4 linked regions of the Macaca mulatta genome follow. The protein of the gene in region 1 purifies or fractionates together with the protein of each later gene. This does not show direct contact. Links are inferred from orthologs where the notes say so. Each region holds a gene or a part of one and is shown on either strand. Other genes may lie near its edges.

What was found.
Region 2: the proteins of OCRL (region 1) and PHETA1 purify together in Homo sapiens (co-immunoprecipitation; 5 studies listed by BioGRID and IntAct, counting the BioPlex papers as one, with this or other methods). This does not show direct contact. The link is inferred for Macaca mulatta from reciprocal best matches to the Homo sapiens genes OCRL and PHETA1.
Region 3: the proteins of OCRL (region 1) and SNX9 purify together in Homo sapiens (co-immunoprecipitation; 3 studies listed by BioGRID and IntAct, with this or other methods). This does not show direct contact. The link is inferred for Macaca mulatta from reciprocal best matches to the Homo sapiens genes OCRL and SNX9.
Region 4: the proteins of OCRL (region 1) and RAB1A purify together in Homo sapiens (co-immunoprecipitation; 3 studies listed by BioGRID and IntAct, with this or other methods). This does not show direct contact. The link is inferred for Macaca mulatta from reciprocal best matches to the Homo sapiens genes OCRL and RAB1A.

What each region holds. Positions count from the first base shown.
Region 1 is NC_133426.1:136,000,040-136,005,075, forward strand, and holds the start of OCRL (inositol polyphosphate 5-phosphatase OCRL), read left to right. Parts: upstream 1-1,914; coding exon 1,915-1,953; intron 1,954-1,991; exon of another isoform or gene 1,992-2,209; coding exon of another isoform or gene 2,210-2,212; coding exon 2,213-2,292; intron 2,293-5,036. UniProt on the Homo sapiens protein: Catalyzes the hydrolysis of the 5-position phosphate of phosphatidylinositol 4,5-bisphosphate (PtdIns(4,5)P2) and phosphatidylinositol-3,4,5-bisphosphate (PtdIns(3,4,5)P3), with the greatest catalytic activity towards PtdIns(4,5)P2.
Region 2 is NC_133416.1:118,558,748-118,563,792, reverse strand, and holds the start of PHETA1 (sesquipedalian-1), read left to right. Parts: upstream 1-1,725; 5' UTR 1,726-1,968; intron 1,969-4,664; 5' UTR 4,665-4,809; intron 4,810-5,045. UniProt on the Homo sapiens protein: Plays a role in endocytic trafficking. Required for receptor recycling from endosomes, both to the trans-Golgi network and the plasma membrane.
Region 3 is NC_133409.1:76,689,018-76,694,092, forward strand, and holds the start of SNX9 (sorting nexin-9), read left to right. Parts: upstream 1-1,785; 5' UTR 1,786-1,997; coding exon 1,998-2,009; intron 2,010-5,075. UniProt on the Homo sapiens protein: Involved in endocytosis and intracellular vesicle trafficking, both during interphase and at the end of mitosis. Required for efficient progress through mitosis and cytokinesis. Required for normal formation of the cleavage furrow at the end of mitosis.
Region 4 is NC_133418.1:59,625,814-59,630,093, reverse strand, and holds part of RAB1A (ras-related protein Rab-1A), read right to left. Parts: intron 2,961-4,280; coding exon 2,865-2,960; intron 640-2,864; coding exon 508-639; intron 249-507; coding exon 51-248; 3' UTR 1-50. UniProt on the Homo sapiens protein: The small GTPases Rab are key regulators of intracellular membrane trafficking, from the formation of transport vesicles to their fusion with membranes.

The sequences.
Region 1 (5,036 bases):
GGAGACGTCAGAAAGGTGATGACAGCTGGCCTTTTTTCTTTTCTTTTTTTTTTTTTTTTTTTTTTGAGACAAGCTCTTGCTCTGTCGCCCAGACTCCCAGGCTGGAGTGCAGTGGCGCCATCCATGGCTCACTGCAGCTGTGACCTCGCTGGCTCAAGGTGATACTCCCACCTCAGCCTCCTGAGTAGCTGGGACTGCAAGCACTTGCCTCCACATCCAGCTAATTTTTATATTTTTTGTAGAGACAGGGTTTTGCCACGTTGCCCAGGCTGGTCTTGAACTCCTGGGCTAAAGTGATCCTACCGCCTTGGCCTCCCAAAGTGCTAGGATTACAGGCATGAGCCACTGTGCAGGCCAGTTTGTCTTTTAACTTGTTTATATTGTCTTGAAGTACACACATTTTGAAATTTTATTTAGCTAAATGTCTTATTCTCATTCCATATTCCAAGCTCATAAAGATACTCAGCTTTTTTCTGAGAGTTATAAAGTTTTGCTTTTCACATTTAGATCTTTAATCCACCTAGAATTGATTTTTCTTCCATGGTTAGAGGTAGGGGTCTAATTTTATAGTTTTCCATATGGATAAGCAGTAGTCCTACTACCACTTAGTGGATAATCCATTATTTCCCCACTGATTTGAAATGTCCCACACGCTGCATATCAACCTTCCATATATGTGTGGTCTGTTTGGGGGCTTTATATTGTGTTTCATTGATTGTCTATCTCCATAGTATACTTTTAATTACTACAGACTTACAGTCAGTCTTGATACTTAGTGTATTATATATTCTGGAACAAATGAATAACACAATCGAAAAATTACTTTGGGAAAAATATTGTTATGGTTGTCAACAGAGTAAACAGGTCAAAGGACAGAGTAAACCCAATAGGATTTATTTAAAGAAAAATGCAATAACCCAGATAGGCTATCACAAGGGCTTACAATAAAGTTATGGCAGTGCGAATGGAAAGAAAATAAGGAATCTAAAAGTAATTCCATGTAAAATATTAACAGGGTTTGTTGACTGATTGGATATAGAGATTAGGAGGGGGAAGACAATATATGGCTTTTAAGTGAAATGATAATGAGTTAGTTTTGTGACGTAGTGATGTATTAACAATGGACTCTATTAGGTAACAGGTCTGGGCCAGGGATATATATTTGGACATTGTCTAGTTAGAGGTGACCTGGAGGGGATGCAGAGGAGGAGCAAAGGTCTGGGCTTTGGGGAATTCTCTGATATAGGGCATAGAAGAAAGAAGAGGAAGGGAAATGGTAGGATAACCAACACAGAGCATTATAACCTTAAGAAATATATATATATAATATTACATATATAATATATATTATATTATATATAATATATATTATATTATATATAATATTACATATATAATATATATTATGTATAATATATATTATATAATATATAAATTTTATATATTTTATATATATATTGTTTCATATATGGATGATGTGGGTCGTATTGACACAACAGGTTTGAGATCCCCCATAGGTGTGACTGTGTTTTGTTTCTGTGGCCATCTTCAAAGTCCTCAGAACAATTTTGATGTCACAGGTGGCATTTAAACCCCATTCCTTGCTGGACGTAGTAGGGACGCCCCCAGTCCGTCGGGTCTCTCGCTGCAGTTCCGCAGGTTGGCCGCAGGGAGCGGAATCTGCGGCGGCCTGGAAAACTGGCGGGGGCGCGAGGCGCCGCTCTCTCTCGGGTCAGATTCTCAGCTCCCAGCTCCCCGCTACCGGCTCCCGGCTCCCGGCGCCCGGCGCCCGGCGCGGAGCGGTTCCTCAAACGACACGCAGCCGAGGTGGGTGGGTGGGTGTGGGGACTCGGGAGCCACTGTCGTCGGATCCGCCCGCAGTCCGCTGTCCCGCCGAGCCCGGAGGCCGCCTGGATGGAGCCGCCGCTCCCGGTCGGAGCCCAGCCCCTTGCCGTATCCGCCGGAGAGAAGGGGGAGGGGAGACCGCGCAGGGCCGCGGGTGGGGGTCGGGGGCCCTGCGGAACACGGCGGGGCGGGGCAACCGGGTGGCCCAGAGGCCAAGCAGAGTGGGGGAGGGGGCCGGCGCGGGAGGCGAAGCCGGGCGGGGCGGGTGAGGGCGGCCGGGGCGGGGGGTGGAAGACCCCCTTCGCCCCGCAGTGCACCACTCCTCCCCACCGCGCTTCCACAGGAGACCCTTGACTAGCGCCCGCATACTGTCGAGGGTATGGAGATGAAGGGTCCTCTCCGGGAGCCCTGCGCCCTGACCCTAGCCCAGAGGAACGGGCAATATGAGTAAGTAACCACCTGATTCCCACAGAGGAGGTGAGCCTGCCATTACCTCCCAACCCCAAACCGCGACGGGTCACCCACTGTCCTCCTACTAAGGCCACACGGGCAACAGGTTCAGGTCCAGGTGTGAAGTGCCAGTGCTCTCTAACCTCGGGGCTTTGTCCTCAACTTCCAAGCCTCTGGATCTTGCTTGGCAGTGTGGCTCAGTGGAAGGACTGAATGGGCGGGGAAGCAGGAAGCCTGGGTTCTTAGTTCCTGCCCCTGCAACTGACATGTGTTGTGTAACGTTGGGCAAGTCAATAAAGCTTTCTGGGCCAAAGTTAACTCTTCAGTTTAATAAAACCATTAACTGCCTTACCTTATAGCCTTTGGAGTTATAAGTGGGGGAAAAATAAATGCGAGAGTGGTTTACAAAACGTAAAAATGCTATGGAAATGCCTCATTGTTCACGTTACAGACTTGTCTTAACCCTATTCAGCTGGTTTCTCCAGTCTCCCTACCCCCTTATCCCACTTGTTTGAAGGCATATTCATTAATTCAGTAATGGTTTAGTGTAGGCCAGAAACTGCCTCACTTACTGATTTGACTGTTAGAAAATGTAATGAAATGTGTAGAGATAGAAATAACAGTATTTTATCAGTGTGTCACCTTCCTCTCTGCCTTAGACATAGGAACTCAGTAAATACTGTTGAATGATTGATCAAAAGATTATTTTGATAAGCTATCACCATAGCTGCTAACCTCTATTGTCACTAATGCCTCATCTCAAAAGTATCCATGGTGACCTTTACATATCATAGGTCCCTATCCCTGTGTGCCCAAGACACCTCCCTTGGATATTCACTGGCTTCTTGGCATAATATTCCTTCCCAGTTTAAAAATTGTTCACTTAAATCTTGCCATCTCCCAACATTGGGTTCTGCCTAAAACCAATTTCCTCAGTCCCCACTTTTAGATCCTCTGTGTCTATGCTGTCTGATTTACATGGAAGAAATCCCCACTGGCCCAACCTGCTCTTTTCTGAGACTATTGGTGCCACTGTAACTGGATGTCAGCTAGTTCTATGAAGTAGCTCCTTCCTAGGTCCTGCTTAGTCAGCTCTATTGGGAAGTTCATCAAACCCAGATTTCATCCAACCCTGGAAGACTAGTTTAATGAAACTAAATTCAGAATTTAATAAAACTAAATTCAGCAGAAAAGTGGAACACCACTAACATTTCCAAAGGCTAGAGTGGGTTAGAGAGAGGTGACCCTTGAGCAAACCAGTAAAACTTCTGTGCCTTGGTTTCCTCTAATGTAAAAACAAAAATCTGAAGATTGAATAGAATAGCTACATTACTGAGATGACCACAGCCCAGAAGGTGGTCCCTCGGATTAGTAGATTTGGAACTCTGTTGAGCTAATAAGGAAGTCTTGTGTTCCAATTCTGTGTAAGTTATGGGGGTATAGTTGGGGGTATATGTGGGGGTATGGGGTTGCTATATAACTAACACTAATATATAAATAACACTATAAAACTAACAACTATATAACTAACAACTAATATAGTTGTTGCTATATTAACAGTTTATAAACTATATAGTTTTAAATATATATAAACTATAGTTTATATATAAACTAACAACTGATACAGTTGTTGCTATATAACTAACACTCAATGACTGCTTATGTGCCAGGTACTGTTCTAAGCACTTTTCATTAGTTAGTTCATTTAATCCACGTGCGAGGGATAAAATAGTAATATCATTATCCCCCTTTTATAGATACAAAAATTGAAGCACAGACAGGTTAAGTCACTTGTTTGCAATTAGGAAGTAGAATACCTGAGATCTGATCCTATGTAACATGTCTCAGAATTACACTGAGAAATTTCTCTTGAAAGCATTTACTGGAGACACCTAATACCATAATACCATCTGTAATCCTCATGTTCTTGTCTCTCTGGTGCCTTCTCTGACTCGAGCGTCCAGAACTTTTTACTTTTGGCCTTTTTATCCTAGAACTTGAAGCCTGTCTTAAATCTTTACGTCTGTGGTTCCTACTGTCAACCATGGGAAATTTACTTGACCAAAATTACAATTAAAAATCAGGTTTTTTTGGAAACAGGGAATCAAACACTAAGATTCATCTTTTTCAAGGATAATAGATTATGAAAAAGCCTGTTTGACCTTTTACCTTCCTTGAACAAATCAAAGCGTTTCCTAGGGATAAGGCAGAGTTGGCATTCAGGATTTGTCACTCTTTTCTGTTTGACAACTACCAAATTCTGAATTCCATTGTTTTGCTGTATGCCAATTATTTCTAATCTTCATATTCTGAAATGAATAATTACACTCAGGTAGAATTTTTATGCTTATTCTTAGCCCTACTCTTTCATCGTAATTTAGTGGGTAACACGTAGTAAATACTCAATAAATGTTTGTGGAATTCACTTAAATTCTCAGTTTATTTCTGTTTTGTAATAGTTTTTAATAGTACTGTTCACATGAAGCTTTACTGCTAGATGTTCAACACCGTATCTTGTTTACATGTTTTGAGATTTTAGTGGTTTGTGTTTATCTTCCTCAAAGTAAGCTCTTCCTCCTGAACCTTTGATTTCTCAGCCTTTTATCTGGTTTCTGGTTTCCATCTGTGTTTATAGGACTCTCCACTCAACTCATGAACTTTCCAGATTGAAAGGGGCCTGCCCCATATTCCTGTAGTCATGTTAGAATACAAACCCCTGCAAATTAGGCAAGAGGATCACA
Region 2 (5,045 bases), on another chromosome or scaffold:
GCAACCTCTGCCTCCCGGGTTCAAGTGATTTTCCTGTCTCAGCCTCCCAAGTAACTGGGATTACAGGTGTACGCAACCATGCCTGGCTATTTTTTTTATTTTTATTTTTTTGTATTTTTAGTAGAGACCAGGTTTCACCATGTTGGCCAGGCTGGTCTTGAACTCCTGACCTCAAGTGATTGACCCACCTCGGCCTCACGAAGTGCTGGAATTACAGGCGTGAGCCACTGCGCCCAGCCACCTGACCTATTTTCCTACTACTCTTCCGTTTGCTCACCTAGCTCTACTGGTCTCCTTGTTGTTCTTCAAACATGCCCAGGATGGCCCCATTTCAGGGCTTTTGTACTTGCTGTTCCCTCTGCTTGGGACATCCTTCTTCCAGATAGCACATGGCTCCCTCCCTCATTCCTCCAGGTCTCTGCTCCTCAGAGAGGCCTTCCCTGAGCACCTTGTCTAAAAGCTGCACTTCCAGCCTAGGCAAGATAGCAAGGCCCTCCATCTCTACAAAAAATTTACAAAAAATTAGCTGGGTGTGGTGGCGCACACCTGTAGTCCCAGCTACTTGGGAGGCTGAGGTGGGAGGATTGGTTGAACCCAGGAGTTCAGGTTACAACAAGCTGTGATTGTGCCACAGCACTCCAACCTGCGTCACAAACAAACAAACAAAAACAACAACAACAACAAAAACTGCACTCCCAGGCTTTCTGCCCCATTGCCTTAGCGTACAGTCCTAGCATGAATAACTTACAGAACTCATTTGTGTTGTCTTGATTCTTGGCTGCACCTACTTACCTGGTTCAGGAGCAGTGCCTGGCACACAGTAGGCACTTAATGAGAGGCTGAACGATGGAGAGCTGAGCCTGGTCTGACCTGTTCTTCCTGCTTTCAGGCCAGGACTGAATAGTGATTGGGAGGTGGCAGGTGGTGGAGAAGAGGCGTCAGGAACAGGAAGTAAGGAAGGGTTCAAGGAGCTGGAACTGTGTTATTTTGGGCAGGGCAAAAACAACAGCAATTCCTATTTCTTGAGAGCTTTCTTTTGTGCCGTGCACTTTACATATCATGATCGTCTTTATTTTCCGGATGAGGAAACGGAGGCTTAGAGAAGTGAAATGATTTCTCTAAGCTCACACAGTGTTCAGTGGCCTAGTGCGACTCGAACTCAAGTCTGCCCCATTCCAGAACTTTCTTCACCTGGAGCCAGGGGAAGCTTGCGAGGCGCCCTGTCCGTATGGAACAGTGCTTTATGGAAATGTACTGGATTCAGCTGTTTTCTGCCAATTACACATTTTTCAGGAGTTAGAGCTATTTTTCTAATATAACTGGGAGTTAAATTTGCTAAACCTGGCAACCCAGGTTTAGCAAATACTTTTATTATTTGTAGAGATGGTGGTCTCCCTATGCTGCCCAGGCTGGTCTTGAACTACTGGCTCCTGCCTTGTCCTAGGGGGAGTTTGGACTTAAGCCTAGGACTTCAGCGAATGGCCCGCCCAGGATCCCCAAATGCTTTTTCCAGGCTAATCCACGACCTGAGCCGGTCCTTACCTTTGGAAGCGCAATGAGCTTCCCGGGCTTGAATCCTCTTTTCTGGGCTAGGGCACTGGGGAGTCGAGAGCCACGAGCGGACCCTTTAAGAGTGATTTCGAGGGCGGGCTCACGGGGGCGTGGCGAATCCGGGGGCGTGCCGGTTCGGGGCCGGCCAATCGGGAGGCGGGAAGAACGCGAGGGCGGTCCCGGCGCGAGCAGGCTGGGAAGGGTTAAAGGGGCGCGCCCGTGGGTCGCGGACTGTCCGGTTGCTCCCGCCTCCTTCCGTCGGATCTGAGCTCTCCCGCGGCTGCGCCGCCCCGGCCGCCCAGGAGACAAAGCGCTGCTGCCGCGGTTGCCGCAACCGGGCCAGTCCTGGACCATGGCCGGGCCACCCCCCAGCCTCGCGCCTCCCGTCCCGTCGCCGCCCTAGGCCTGCGCTGCGAGGTAAGGCGGGCCTGGCGGGGGGACCTGCACCGGGACACGGGACCCGGGTCAGGCCGCCCTGGGCCTCGGGGTTCCCCGGCCACCTGGAGAGCGCGCTGCGGGGATCTTCCCTGCTGGGACTTTGCACCAGTGGTCACTTCTCCAGCTGCCGAGGCGAACTTGGCCGATGACCACCCTCCCCGCCCTCAGCCCATAGGGACGTCTGCCGCTGTGGGGGACTGCGGACAAGCCCCCTATTCTGCCGCTGATCACCCATCTGGGGCCCTGACTGTCCTTTAAGGAACTTAAGAGAGCTGCCACGCACAACACACAAAGGGACAGAGAGCAGCCGGGAGCAGGGCCACACCTGGAGAAGCAGCCCCTGCCGTGGGCAAGGGGGCTGCCTGTGTCTGGACGGCGGTGCTGGCACGTCCCTGGGGTCCCTGCTGGTGCGCTGACGGACAGGCTGGTCTTCAGTGTTCTTGGCACACATGTTTTTCAGCCTGTGCCTGCCACACCCTCTTCCCCACGCCCGCTGCTGGGGGACACTGAGGGCAGTTGGATTCAACCCCAGGACCTGTGGTTCTGGCTTCTTTCGTTAAAGTGAGTGCCAAAATGCCATGCTTCAGTCTCCCCAGAGACCTGGGTTCCAGGCCAGCTGTGCCCCTGGAGATCTTGGATGAATTATTTGCCTTTTTGACAGCTCTTTCCCTGAAAGCATTTTGCAAAATGACTCTTCAGGAGTAAATTCACTCAGCCCATAGAGGGATGGAAGTTAACATCCCCATTTTGCAGATGAGGCTGAGAAAACCCCGACTCACAGCAGCTAATATTTGCAATCCATTTCCCATAGTTTGCCAGTGGGTTTTCCTTCTTTTAGCTCATGGACCCTTGCCACACAGCCCATTTTAACAGATGAGGAAACTGAGGCTTGGAAAGGTGAAACGACTTGTCCAAGGCCTTCCAGCCTGGACCTGCAGAGGCAGGAACTTTGCCTTGGGAGCAGCACGGGGCCAGGCTCCCTCCAGCTTCCTGTCTGGCCCTGGGCTGTTGAATCAGCAGCAGTGCCCACAGCGGACTCTGAACTTCTTGGAAAACAGTGTGGGGAGATAAGGCAGGGACCAGGCCTTCGCTCCAGGCAAGGCTGGAGCCTGTGCCCCTGCAGTTTCCTGCCTTCCCTGTTCTGGTGGAGGCAGGGGTCATGGGCAGAGCTGGGTCCTGTGCCTGCTGGTGACTTTGAAGCAGTTTGGCCTCCATCTGGGCAGTGCAGGGAGGTGGTTTGCTGAGCAGGAGGGAAGTTGCTATTCCTTTGGCCTTGATGGGGTGGAGAGACCCCAAGATTGGCTCCTTTATTTGGGTGGCTTGCCTGGAGCATGTGATTCTGGGCACAGTTGTATGCCTCTGGCCAACTTATTGAACCTCCCTGTGTCCATTTCCACATCTGTGAATGTGGGGTGAGACCCCTTGTCATGGGGCCGTTGAGAAGTTTCAGAAGATACCTGCAGAATGAATCAAACAGCTATGTGAGCACCTACTGCATGCCTGGCACTGGAATTCACACCACAAACGCCCCAGCTTTCCTAGAGCAGGCAAAAATGACCCAGGTATTAATAATTTCAGGTGGAGGCACAGGAGAGGGACTGGAGGGCCTCTTATGCATAGGGTGGCCAGGGACCACCTCTCCGAGGAGGTGACAGCTAGGCTGAGACCAAAGGATGGGGAACTGGCCTTGTGAAGACCTGCAAGCAGACAGCCGGGACCAAGTCTTGGAGGTGGGGATGTATCTGGTGTATTTAAGGAACAGAAAGGAGGCCAGGATGGCTGGAGCTGAGTGAACAAGGGGGAAAGAGGTAGGAAAAGGGAACTTGGAAGCCATGGGAGGCTTGGACTGTTTTTTGTTTTTTTTTTTTTTTTTTTTTTTTTTTTTTTGAGGCAGGATCTCACTATGTCGCCCAGGCTGGAGTGCAGTGGCATGATCACTCCCAAGTTCAAGGGGTCCTTCCATGTTAGCCTCCCAGACAGCTAGGACTAGAGGCTTGTGTCAACATGCCCAGCTATTTTTTTTCTATTTTTTGTGGAGGTAGGGTCTTGCTGTGTTGTCCAGGCTGGTCTCTAACTCAAGCGATCCTCCGGCCTCAGCCTCCCAAAGTGCTAGCATTACAGGTGTGAGCCACCGCACCCTGCCTAAGGATTTAATTTTATGCTGAGAGAAGTAGGGAGCCATGGGAGGGTTTAGAGCAGAGGAGGAGTGTGATTGGACTTAATTTTCACAGGATCCCTCTGTGGGGAGTGGATTTCAGTGTGGATCGGAGAAGAGCCTAGGAAGGAGGCTTGGATCTTACCTTAAGGAACATGGATGGGGGGGCAAGGAGACTTGTGTGGAGGCTACAGCAGCTGTTCCAGTGAATGGTGATGGGGCCTAGAATGGGGAGGTGGAGTGGACAGATTAGGCAACTGATTTGGAAGACGCTGGAGAGGCGGGATCAACTGGACTTGATATGTGATCAGATGTGGGGGTGAGAGGGAAACCAAGGGCCATTTGCTGAGATCAGAAGTATGACACGGGGACGTTTGGGGAAAAGCCAAGAAGAATGTGAACTGCAGCTGTGCTCAGCAGGCGTTGTGTGCCTGGCCCCGTGCTCCGCAAAGTCCGTGTAGTCACTGTATCATTGTCACAACAGCCCTGACTTAGGCACTGTTACGATCTCATTTTACAGATGCAGAAACGGAGGCCCAGAGAGGTTAATAGCCTGCCTGGGGTTCCCCAGCCCAGATGCTGCAGAGCTGACATTTGAATCCAGAGAAGAGCAAGCTGAGGCTGGAGCTGAACAGAGGGCAGGGAGGCGAGTGGTGGCCTGAGAGGTAGGAGCGGAATTGGGCAAGTGGGGCGGGAGGGTCCTGTGAGAACTGGGGCCAGCATCCACATGGGAGTTGATGGGTGGTGGTGTGGGGAATGCGTGAATCCCTGTGGCTTAGAGAGGGACAGCTGTATCTGAGAGGCAGGGTGGGGATTCAACACCTGGAGACTTTGGGGGCTCTGGCCTTGGCCCCCCACTAGGTCAGGACAGACTGACCTCAGTTTCTTTTTTTAAGTTCCG
Region 3 (5,075 bases), on another chromosome or scaffold:
CTGGTTTTTCCACATACTAGTGTGTACTCTTAGCCAAGTTATTTCTTCCATTGTTTATTAAAACATAACTTCTGTTTTTAAAGGAAGTCATACATACACATGGTCAAAAACTCTGACAACAGGATTTGGCGAAACTTTCTCAGAAGTTTTCTAGGCATGTATAACACATTTCCTTTTTTTTTTTTTTTAACATAAATGTACCATACATCATGTTCTTTTATCTTTCTTAACACCTCTTAAAATATTATTTTCTTACGGGCTTTGTAGTATTTTGTTTGAATGGATGTATCTTATTTACTGAAAGAGTCCTGTTAACAAACACATAGGTTGTTTTCTGGTTGGAGTTAGGACCGAACAATCTTTGATGAACATCTTTGATCACTTGTACAAGTTTGACAGGATAAACTCCTAGGAGGGCTGCTGGGTCCAAGGCTGTGGTCATTTTCGATTTGAGTAAGTATTACCAAAAGCGCAAGTTATTTAAGTGAGCCCTGATTCGCTCTTCTTTGTAAACAGTGGACAATAATGAGCTTCTCAAACGTTTCTTATAAGGATTAAATGAGATGGGGATGTAAAAGCCCAGTATATAGCAAGCAGGCTGTCAATGAATATTGGCCTCCATCTTTTTTTATGGAGAAAGACAACTATTTATGCATATTATGACGACTATAGCTTAACCATGAGCTCAACAAACACAAAAATTCACAGAAAATTCTGCGATACCGTATCTATTTTAAACCACATTATTGAATGTAACTAGTGAAACCTCAGGTCAAATAGAATGTATTTAAGGAGACACAAACTTGACATTAACTCTAAATACCAGAGTATTGAAGATTTGATAGTTGTCTCTTCTTACAAATATATCCCTCATAATAAAAAAGCACTCCACTAATATGCCAATTATGATACATCTTCCAGTTGTGTTTTGTCCTTGAGCGAAAAATCTTGCTGCTCAATTCAAGTCATTCGTTTATTCATAACACCCATATATATATCTCCAACTCTGGAGAGAAACACTGACAGAAAGATGGAAAATTTTAGAGCCCTCATTTCCACTTCAGAGAGCCTGTTGTCCCCTAAACCTCTTGGGCCCTCGGGCATTTTTAAACTTATCAAGATTCCAGAATGAGGTTAATGGGACGTCACAAAACGAACCCCCCACCGTCCCGTCCCAGGGGCTCCAAGCCAGGACCCCAGCCTGAGGGAGCCTCCGGGCAGGAGAAAGAGGCCCAGGAAGCCATTGCTCCGTTCCTTCCCGGCTGTTTACGTGGCACTCAAAGTACTCGGCCAAGGGCACGGCGACCCCGCAACACCCTCGGCGTGGGGCAAAGACAGCGGGGTTGCGGGGCTCCTGTCTGCCGGGAGCGTCGAGAGTTCCTGCCCCCCCGCCCGCCTCATGCACGGAAAGCCCCGAGCCACGGCGTGCGGCGCTGGCCGAGCGTGAACCGGAGTCGGGTTCGGCTCCCCCGAGCGGCTGTGCGGGCCGCGGAGCGCTTCCTGTGGGGCGGCCACGCAGGGTGCGGGCCATGGCCCGGGGCGCCTGTCCGGATCCCGCCGCCGCGCGGGACGCAGCCCCCGTCCTCGACCCAGGGCGCCCGGCGGCGGCGGCAGCGACTGCCCGGGGCGGCGGCGCGGCGCGGCGCAGCGCGGGGGCGGCCAGGAGGCGAGGAGGCCGGGCCGCGGCCGAGGGCCCAGGGCGCGCTTCCGCCGGGCGCCGCGCGCGCCGCGGTAAAAGGGAGGCTCGGCCGGCAGGGGCGGGGGCCGCGCAGCCGGGGACTTTCAGGAACTGCAGGAGCGGGCGGCGCGGGAGTAGCCGAGCGCCCAGCGGCTGGGCCTGAGCGTCGAGACTCGGGGCCGAGGCGGAGGAGCGGCCGCCGCGCCGGGGCCCAGCCGGAGCCGCCGCCCTCGCCCTTGCCTTCGTCCGCGCGGCTCAGAATCACCATCCGCGGCGCGGGAGACAAGCCGGCCGTCCCGGGCCGGGGGACCCGCCCGCCATGGCCACCAAGGTGAGGGGCGCGCAGCGCAGGCCCGGCCGGTCGCTCAGGCCCGCGGCGGCGCGGGGACGGTCGGGGCTGGGGCCGCGGGGAGGGTTGGGGCCGGGGGCGGCCGAGGGGCCACTCTGCGTCCTCGGTGGGGTCCCCGGGCGGGTCCGCGGCCCAGCCAGTCCCTTCTGGGCATGGGTGCGGCGGACCGTGCAGACGGCCGGGATCGCGCCGGGGGAGGGCGTCGGGTCTGGGCGCGGGTTGGGACCCCGGGTGCAGCGACGTTTGGGAAGTTTGCACCTGAGCTTGGGCTGCGGCGGGCTCGCCGGGAGGGGCCGCGAGAGCGGGACGGAAACTTCCCGCAGCCCGGGGAGGCCCCCGAGGCGACAGGCTCTCTGTGGCGTCCGGTGTCCCCGCGGCGTCTGGCGTCCCCGCCGCCCCCACGTCCCCTCCCGCTGCCGCCCAGGGGACCCTCGGCCCCGTGGGGCGGGTGGGGGTCGAGACCTCAGCAGAGAGGACGCTGCGCTTCCCGTCCCGGCCTGCGGGAGCTCGCGGCCGGGGAGAGACAGAGGCTGGGACACCCCGCGCCCCTCTGCCTTCTCTGCTGTTATTTTTTTCTTTTGTTTTGCTACCTGCTCAGTGTGAATGGTATTGCCGGCATGAATAAAATATCAAGAGGGAAATGACTGTGCTTTCGATTACGTGTTTGCCTAAAAAAGGCCCAGGCCCGAATTACGTGGTGGAACTTTGACTCCTGCTTGGTAATTGGCTAGGAGCGGTGGTTTGCTTGTTTTGCATTATTGTTTATGAAATTAGCAGTCACTCTTTGCTACCTGAATCTTCAAAAGCCACCCTCCCCCACTCCTTTTCCTTGGGCGTTTTCAGTAGTTACTTGGTGTAAAATAGTCACTGGGGAGTCATGGTCGCGGAAGGAGGACCTGGGGGAGGAGGCTCTGTACCTGAACCATTAACTGTTCTGTGATACGCTGTGAGGAGTAGGTTTACTTTTGCACTTAGTTTTTGTAGTGTCACTTTATTAGCATCAGCACCCCTTTCCCTATTTTTTTTTTTTTTTTTTGAGATCTCTGACTACTTTTGGGTTGCTAGAAACGTTATTTTTTATATTTCGATAGCTATTTGCTTTTTTTGGTGGAGTGTTAAGGTAGGAAATGGTAAGAAATGTGAAATCTGTTTAAAAGATCAGCGTTGCTTGACTTCGGTCTGCTAGATGTCCTGTGGTAAATTTTGTGCTCTGAATCCATCTAGGTGCAGCGTTTATAGAGAAGTGGGGATTCTCCTCCAGGGAACCTGTTGCTGCTGTTACTGAAATAATTACCTTCTTGTTAATATATTATTGCCTGTGCTGTGCTTTGGTTTTATTAATGTGATAGAACTTGCCACCTTTTGAACTTATTAATTTTGTGTTGACCTTTTTAAAAATAAAACTTAGGCCAAGGATTTCTAAGGAAATTTGATTTTGAGGTTTGTTGCCAGACACTCCAGAAATTACCAGTTACACATCCTAGTACACGCTCATCTTGCAACCTTAACAGCGGTTTATAGGCTGGGCGCGGCGGCTCACTCCCACCTGTAATTCCAGCACTTTGGGAGGCCGCGGTGGGCGGTTCACCTGAGGTCGGAGCTCCATACAGCCTGGCCAATATGGTGAAACTCCGTCTCTACTAAAAATACAAAAATTAGCTGGGCGTGGTGGCGCGCGCCTGTAGCCCCAGCTGCTCCGGGAGGCCGAGGCAGGAGAATCGCTTGAACCCGGGAGGCGGAGGTTGCAGTGAGCCAAGATGGCGTCGCTGCACTCCGGCCTGGGCTACAGAGCGAGGAGACTCCGTTTGAAAAAAAAAAAAAAAACCAAGGCGGTGTATGACATAGAGATCTGTCCAGTGGTGGTCTGTGTGTTTTTACACTCTGGTCTACTGAGGCATGTTACCTGTACTGTCCTTTAAGTGGAATGCAGTTTAGCAACTAGTGCAGGTATACGTAGTGAAATTTTTATTTCATAGTTAAGCCTGAACTTAATTTTTTTTTTCAAAAAATTGAAAAGTGGTTCTTGTATATTAATCTTGAATTGCATGTGTCTTTGCTTAAACACGAGCCTTAAAACATGCATAAGCACTTCCTACTTCGTTATCTACACCACTCCGAAGGCAAATTCCAGTAATTCTGTTAGTTTCTTTCGCTGTCTAATCACTGTTCCACATGGTGCTCATTTCCATGTCTACATTGTGACAGACCATTTCCATTTTAAGAAAAAGAAGAGCAATGAAGCAGTTGTTAGAAGAAGACCCTTCCTTAGTTTTCTGACATCCTGGTGATACTTGGGTCAAACCAAAGTCTCATTTTTTAATTGTCCCCAGAGAGACAAGTTGCTACTTTCCTCACTTGCCCCATATACACACCCCTTCCCCACACCTGAGTAGTTCTGTTTTTTTTCTTCGTCTTCTTCAAGGGGTGGGGAGAATGTGCTTAGTAGTAATGACTAATTTTTAATAAATGGCTCCAGTGGCACTCAGGCTGTTGCTGTAAGTATTAAGTGATGAAAAGTAAATTCAGGATCTGGATATTTTAGGGGATGTTCATTTCCCTTTGAATTTACCAGAAACTTGGCTATAGTATCTTCAGATACAATTTTCTTGTTTGTTCTTAAGTATTTTCTTAAGGATGTGGTTATCACTGAACTATTGGCATTTTAAAAAACTGCACTAGTATATTTTACAATAGAAAAGGAAATTATCATTTAGAAGAAGTAGTTTAGTTGAACAGTCCTTCACTGCTAAGGAAAGTTAATCAGGGCCAGGTGCGGTGGCTCACACCTGTAATCCCAGCACTTTGGGAAACCGAGGCAGGCGGATCACGAGGTCAGGAGGTCGAGACAATCCTGGCTAACACAGTGAAACTCCGTCTCTACTAAAAGTACAAAAAAAAAAAAAAAATAGCTGGGCGTGGTGGCGGTCACCTGTAGTTCTAGCTACTCGGGAGGCTGGGGCAGGAGAATGGTGTGAACCCGGGAGGCAGAGCTTGCAGTGAGCCAAGATCGCGCCACTGCACTCTAGCCTGGGTGACAGAGTGAGACTC
Region 4 (4,280 bases), on another chromosome or scaffold:
TGGGTTCAGATTGCAAATTCATTGCTGTGAGAAAAGGACGGAGGCAAATTTTAGCAGCAACCTCCACCTGACTGCTTGACCGGAGTGCTCTGAATTTTAACATTGGACTTCTCAGCACCACCAGCTGTTGCTCCGGGACCCATTCGCTTTTTAATCTCAGCTGCCATCGTCATGAAAGACTGTTCTACATTCGTTGCATTCTTAGCACTGGTTTCCAAAAACGGAATTCCAAGGGAATCAGCAAATTCCTAAGAGAATAATGAGGCACAATTAACACTGAAAAATCTTTTTCACTACTACTTAGTGCATTTCTACCATCCATAATGGAGCATGAGGAACTAATAAGTTCATTGGATCCAAACAGATGTTACACGAATTGTCACTGTCACAGTATTCTAGTGCACATATTTTTAAAAGTTAAGGTGGCTGTGGCCTTAGTATTACTGCAGAGCCCATACATAATTCAACACCTTCAAATTCAGTATGAAAATTAAACTTTAAACATACCTTTGCTGTTGTGTAGTCTACTACTTTCTTTGTGGTCAGATCACATTTGTTCCCTACCAACAATTTGTTGACATTTTCACTGGCATAACGATCTATTTCCTGCAGCCACTGTTTAACATTATTGAAGGACTCCTAAAAAGACATTTGAAAGTTTGATAATATGGTTCTGGAATAAATGGAAACAACCTTCCTGACCTAACAGACAAATAACAAAGAGCTAGTGAGACAACTCTAGGTACAAAATAACCACTGCTAAGGAGTGAAGGGGATTTTTTTTTTTTTTTTTTGAGACAGGGTCTTGCTGTGTTACCTAGGCCAGGGCGCAGTGGCACAATCACAGCTCACTGCACCCTCGACCTCCCAAGCTCAAGCCATCCTCCCGCTTCAGCCTCCGGGATAGCTGGGACTACAGGCACATGCCACCACACCTGGCTATTTTTTTTTTTTGGACTTCTTGTATAGATGGGGTTTCACTATGTTGCCCAGGCTGGTCTCAAACTCCTGAGCTCAAACAATCGGCCCACCTTGGCCTCAAAAATGCTGAGTTTACAGGTGTTAGCCACTGTGGCTGGCCGTAAACAGATATATTAAAATGACTATAAATATCTAAATGATGACAAACTAGAATTTACAGGCTTAATGATGAAAATACCTTATTTGAAAGGGACAGCTTAATATTAAACTGCAACTCAGGCAAACCCAACTGCTTTGGAATATGCAATTTAAATGTACTACAAAACCTGGTTTTGAAATTTGATAATTTTTTTTTTTGGGGGGGGGGGGGAGACAAAGTCTTGTTCTGTCATCCAGGCTGGAGTGCAATGGCACGATCTCGGCTCACTGCAACCTCTGCCTCCTGGGCTCAAGTGATTCTCCTGTCTCAGCCTCCCAAGTGACTGCTAGGATTACAGGCACGCGCCCCCACACCTGGCTAATTTTTGTCACGCCTGGCTAATTTTTGGTTTGTTTTTTTGTTTTTTCTTTTGGAGACAGAGTCTGGCTCTGTCACCCAGGCTGGAGTGCAGTGGCCGGATCTCAGCTCACTGCAAGCTCCGCCTCCCGGGTTTCCGCCATTCTCCTGCCTCAGCCTCCTCCCGGGTTTACGCCATTCTCCTGCCACCTCGCCCGGCTAGTTCTTTGTATTTTTTAGTAGAGACGGGGTTTCACCGTGTTAGCCAGGATGGTCTCGATCTCCTGACCTCGTGATCCGCCCGTCTCGGCCTCCCAAAGTGCTGGGATTACAGGCTTGAGCCACCGCGCCCGGCCTAATTTTTGTACTTTTAGTAGAGATGGGGTTTTGTCATGTTAGCCAGCCTGGTCTCTAACTCCTGGCCTCAGGTGATCCACCCGGCTCGGCCTCCCAAAGTGTGGGGATTACAGGCGTGAGCCACTGCACCCGGCTTGAAATTTGATAAAATTTTGGTTTATGAATAAGATGACCTACTGTTACTACTAGACATGTCAAAATGTTATTAAATATACTTATTTTCTTATCCACAGTCATATTTACAGGAGGAAAGTTTTCATTTAAAAGTATTTCACGGCAATATGACTAGAGATTTTTTTAAACTAGCATCATTTTTTTCTCTTGCAGATATCACCCACCCAGCACTTCTAATGGCACTGAATCAAAATGTTTACATGTAAGTTATCTCCTAATTAGCTATGATTTCATATTAGAGGTGAGATTTAACATTTGCCAAAAGAAAAATAAATTCCAATTTTGAATGTTTCTCTTCTGTCCTTTGATAGAAAGGACATCGAAATCTAAGTTTCTGATTAAAAATAATAATAACAAAAAAACAGTTATGGCCCCTGGAGTACATGCTTCACTGTCCCAGATTGTTCCCTCCATCACCCTGCCCTCTCTCACAGCTAATCTTCAGATACTCATTCTCATACTAAGATCCTCCTACAGCTTATCCTATTCAAATCCTTTTTTTCTGAACCACATCCTCCACAGGCAGAGACCCGCAAATCCCTCTTTTAGCAATTCTGATTACCAGGCCATATTCCTGTTAACAACACCAAGAATACAATATAAGTCAAGCAACTCACGATTCCCTACAAACTCTTGCCTATATGTTAGAGTCTTGGCTATTTGATCAGTTATTTAGTTCATAATAAATACAACCAGAATCCCTTGAAAGCAAATGTAAAACTTATTACTAATGTTCTATTTATTACAGGAAAAAAAATGTCTTTTAAGTGATTCACATTTATATTTGAGTGGACAAAGTTTTCTGCCATAAAGTTAATACTGATGGCTTATATGCGAAGTAGTAAATGAATCTTACATTAATCGAATAATGACTTCCTACTTGGTCACTGTAACACAATCTCCTCTTGGAACTTACCTGATCTGTCACATCATACACAACTATGATGCCATGGGCTCCTCTGTAATAACTGGAGGTGATTGTTCGAAATCTTTCCTGGCCTGCTGTGTCCCACTATTACAAAACAATCAAGAAATCCAAACAATTCCATTAAAATAAAGTTGGGGAAAAGTGTAGGAGGGAGGGGAAATAGTTTAGTTTTCATAACTGTGGAGATTATCAGGATGTGATATAGAAACATTAGTCCTCAACTCATACCACTATATTGCACAGTAATAAGTACCTGGAAGTCCAGAAAAGAAGGTAGTACCTACAACTGAGCTTACGATAATACTAAAATTACAAGCTGTTGAGAGCAGGAAGTATGTCATACTTTTCACATTCCCTACCGCCTTTAGCACCATGTTGAGGAATGTCACTGGCCTAAAGCCCTTGAACACAGAACTCTTCCATGTAAGACAAACTCACTTGCTTGCACATTCTACCATGATTAAATTAGCATTGGAGGGACCTGATTCAAATAACTACCAGTCAAGACAGAACTTTAATTATCCCAAGCAGGTGTCTTTTTCTTCCCCCCTTCAAGCAGGGTCTCAGATCTGTCATCCAGGCTGAGTGCAGTGGCATGATCATGGCTCACTGCAGCTTCAACCTCCCCAGCTCAAGCAATCCTCCCACCTGAGCCTCCTGAGGAGCTGGGACTATAGGTACATGCCACCACACTCAGCTAATTTTTTCTTTTTTGTAGAGACGGAGTTTTGCTATATTGCCCAGGCTGGTCTCAAATTCCTGGACTCAAGCAATTCTCCCAAAGTGCTGGCATTACTGGCATGAGCCACCATGCCTGGCCAGGTGTTGTCTTCATCCTAGAGAAAACAATGTAAGGAAGATGATTCCAAACACTTTTATAAAATGTATTTTAAGAGCAACTTAACTGCCTTTCAACTAGTTAGGCTCAAATTCCAAAAACAAATGCTAACATTATTGCATTATAGTTCTGGGTTTAAAAAAACTGTTGGGGCCGAGCGCGGTGGCTCAAGCCTGTAATCCCAGCACTTCAAGAGGCCGAGACAGGTGAATCACGAGGTCAGGAGATTGAGACCATCCCGGCTAACACGGAGAAACCCCGTCTCTACTAAAAAACACAAAAAACTAGCCAGGCGAGGTGGCGGGTCCCAGCTACTCAAGGGGCTGAGGCAGGAGAACGGTGCAAACCTGGGAGGTGGAGCTTGCAGTGAACTGAGATCCGGCCACTGCATTCCAGCCTGGGCAACAGAGCGAGACTCTGTCTCAAAAAAAAAAAAAAAAAAAAAAAAACTGTTGGGACTGGGCACGGTGGCTCACGCCTGTAATCCCAACACTTTGGGAGGCTAAGGCAGTCAGATCACGAGGTCAGGAGTTCGAGACCAGCCTGACCAACATGCTAAAACCCCA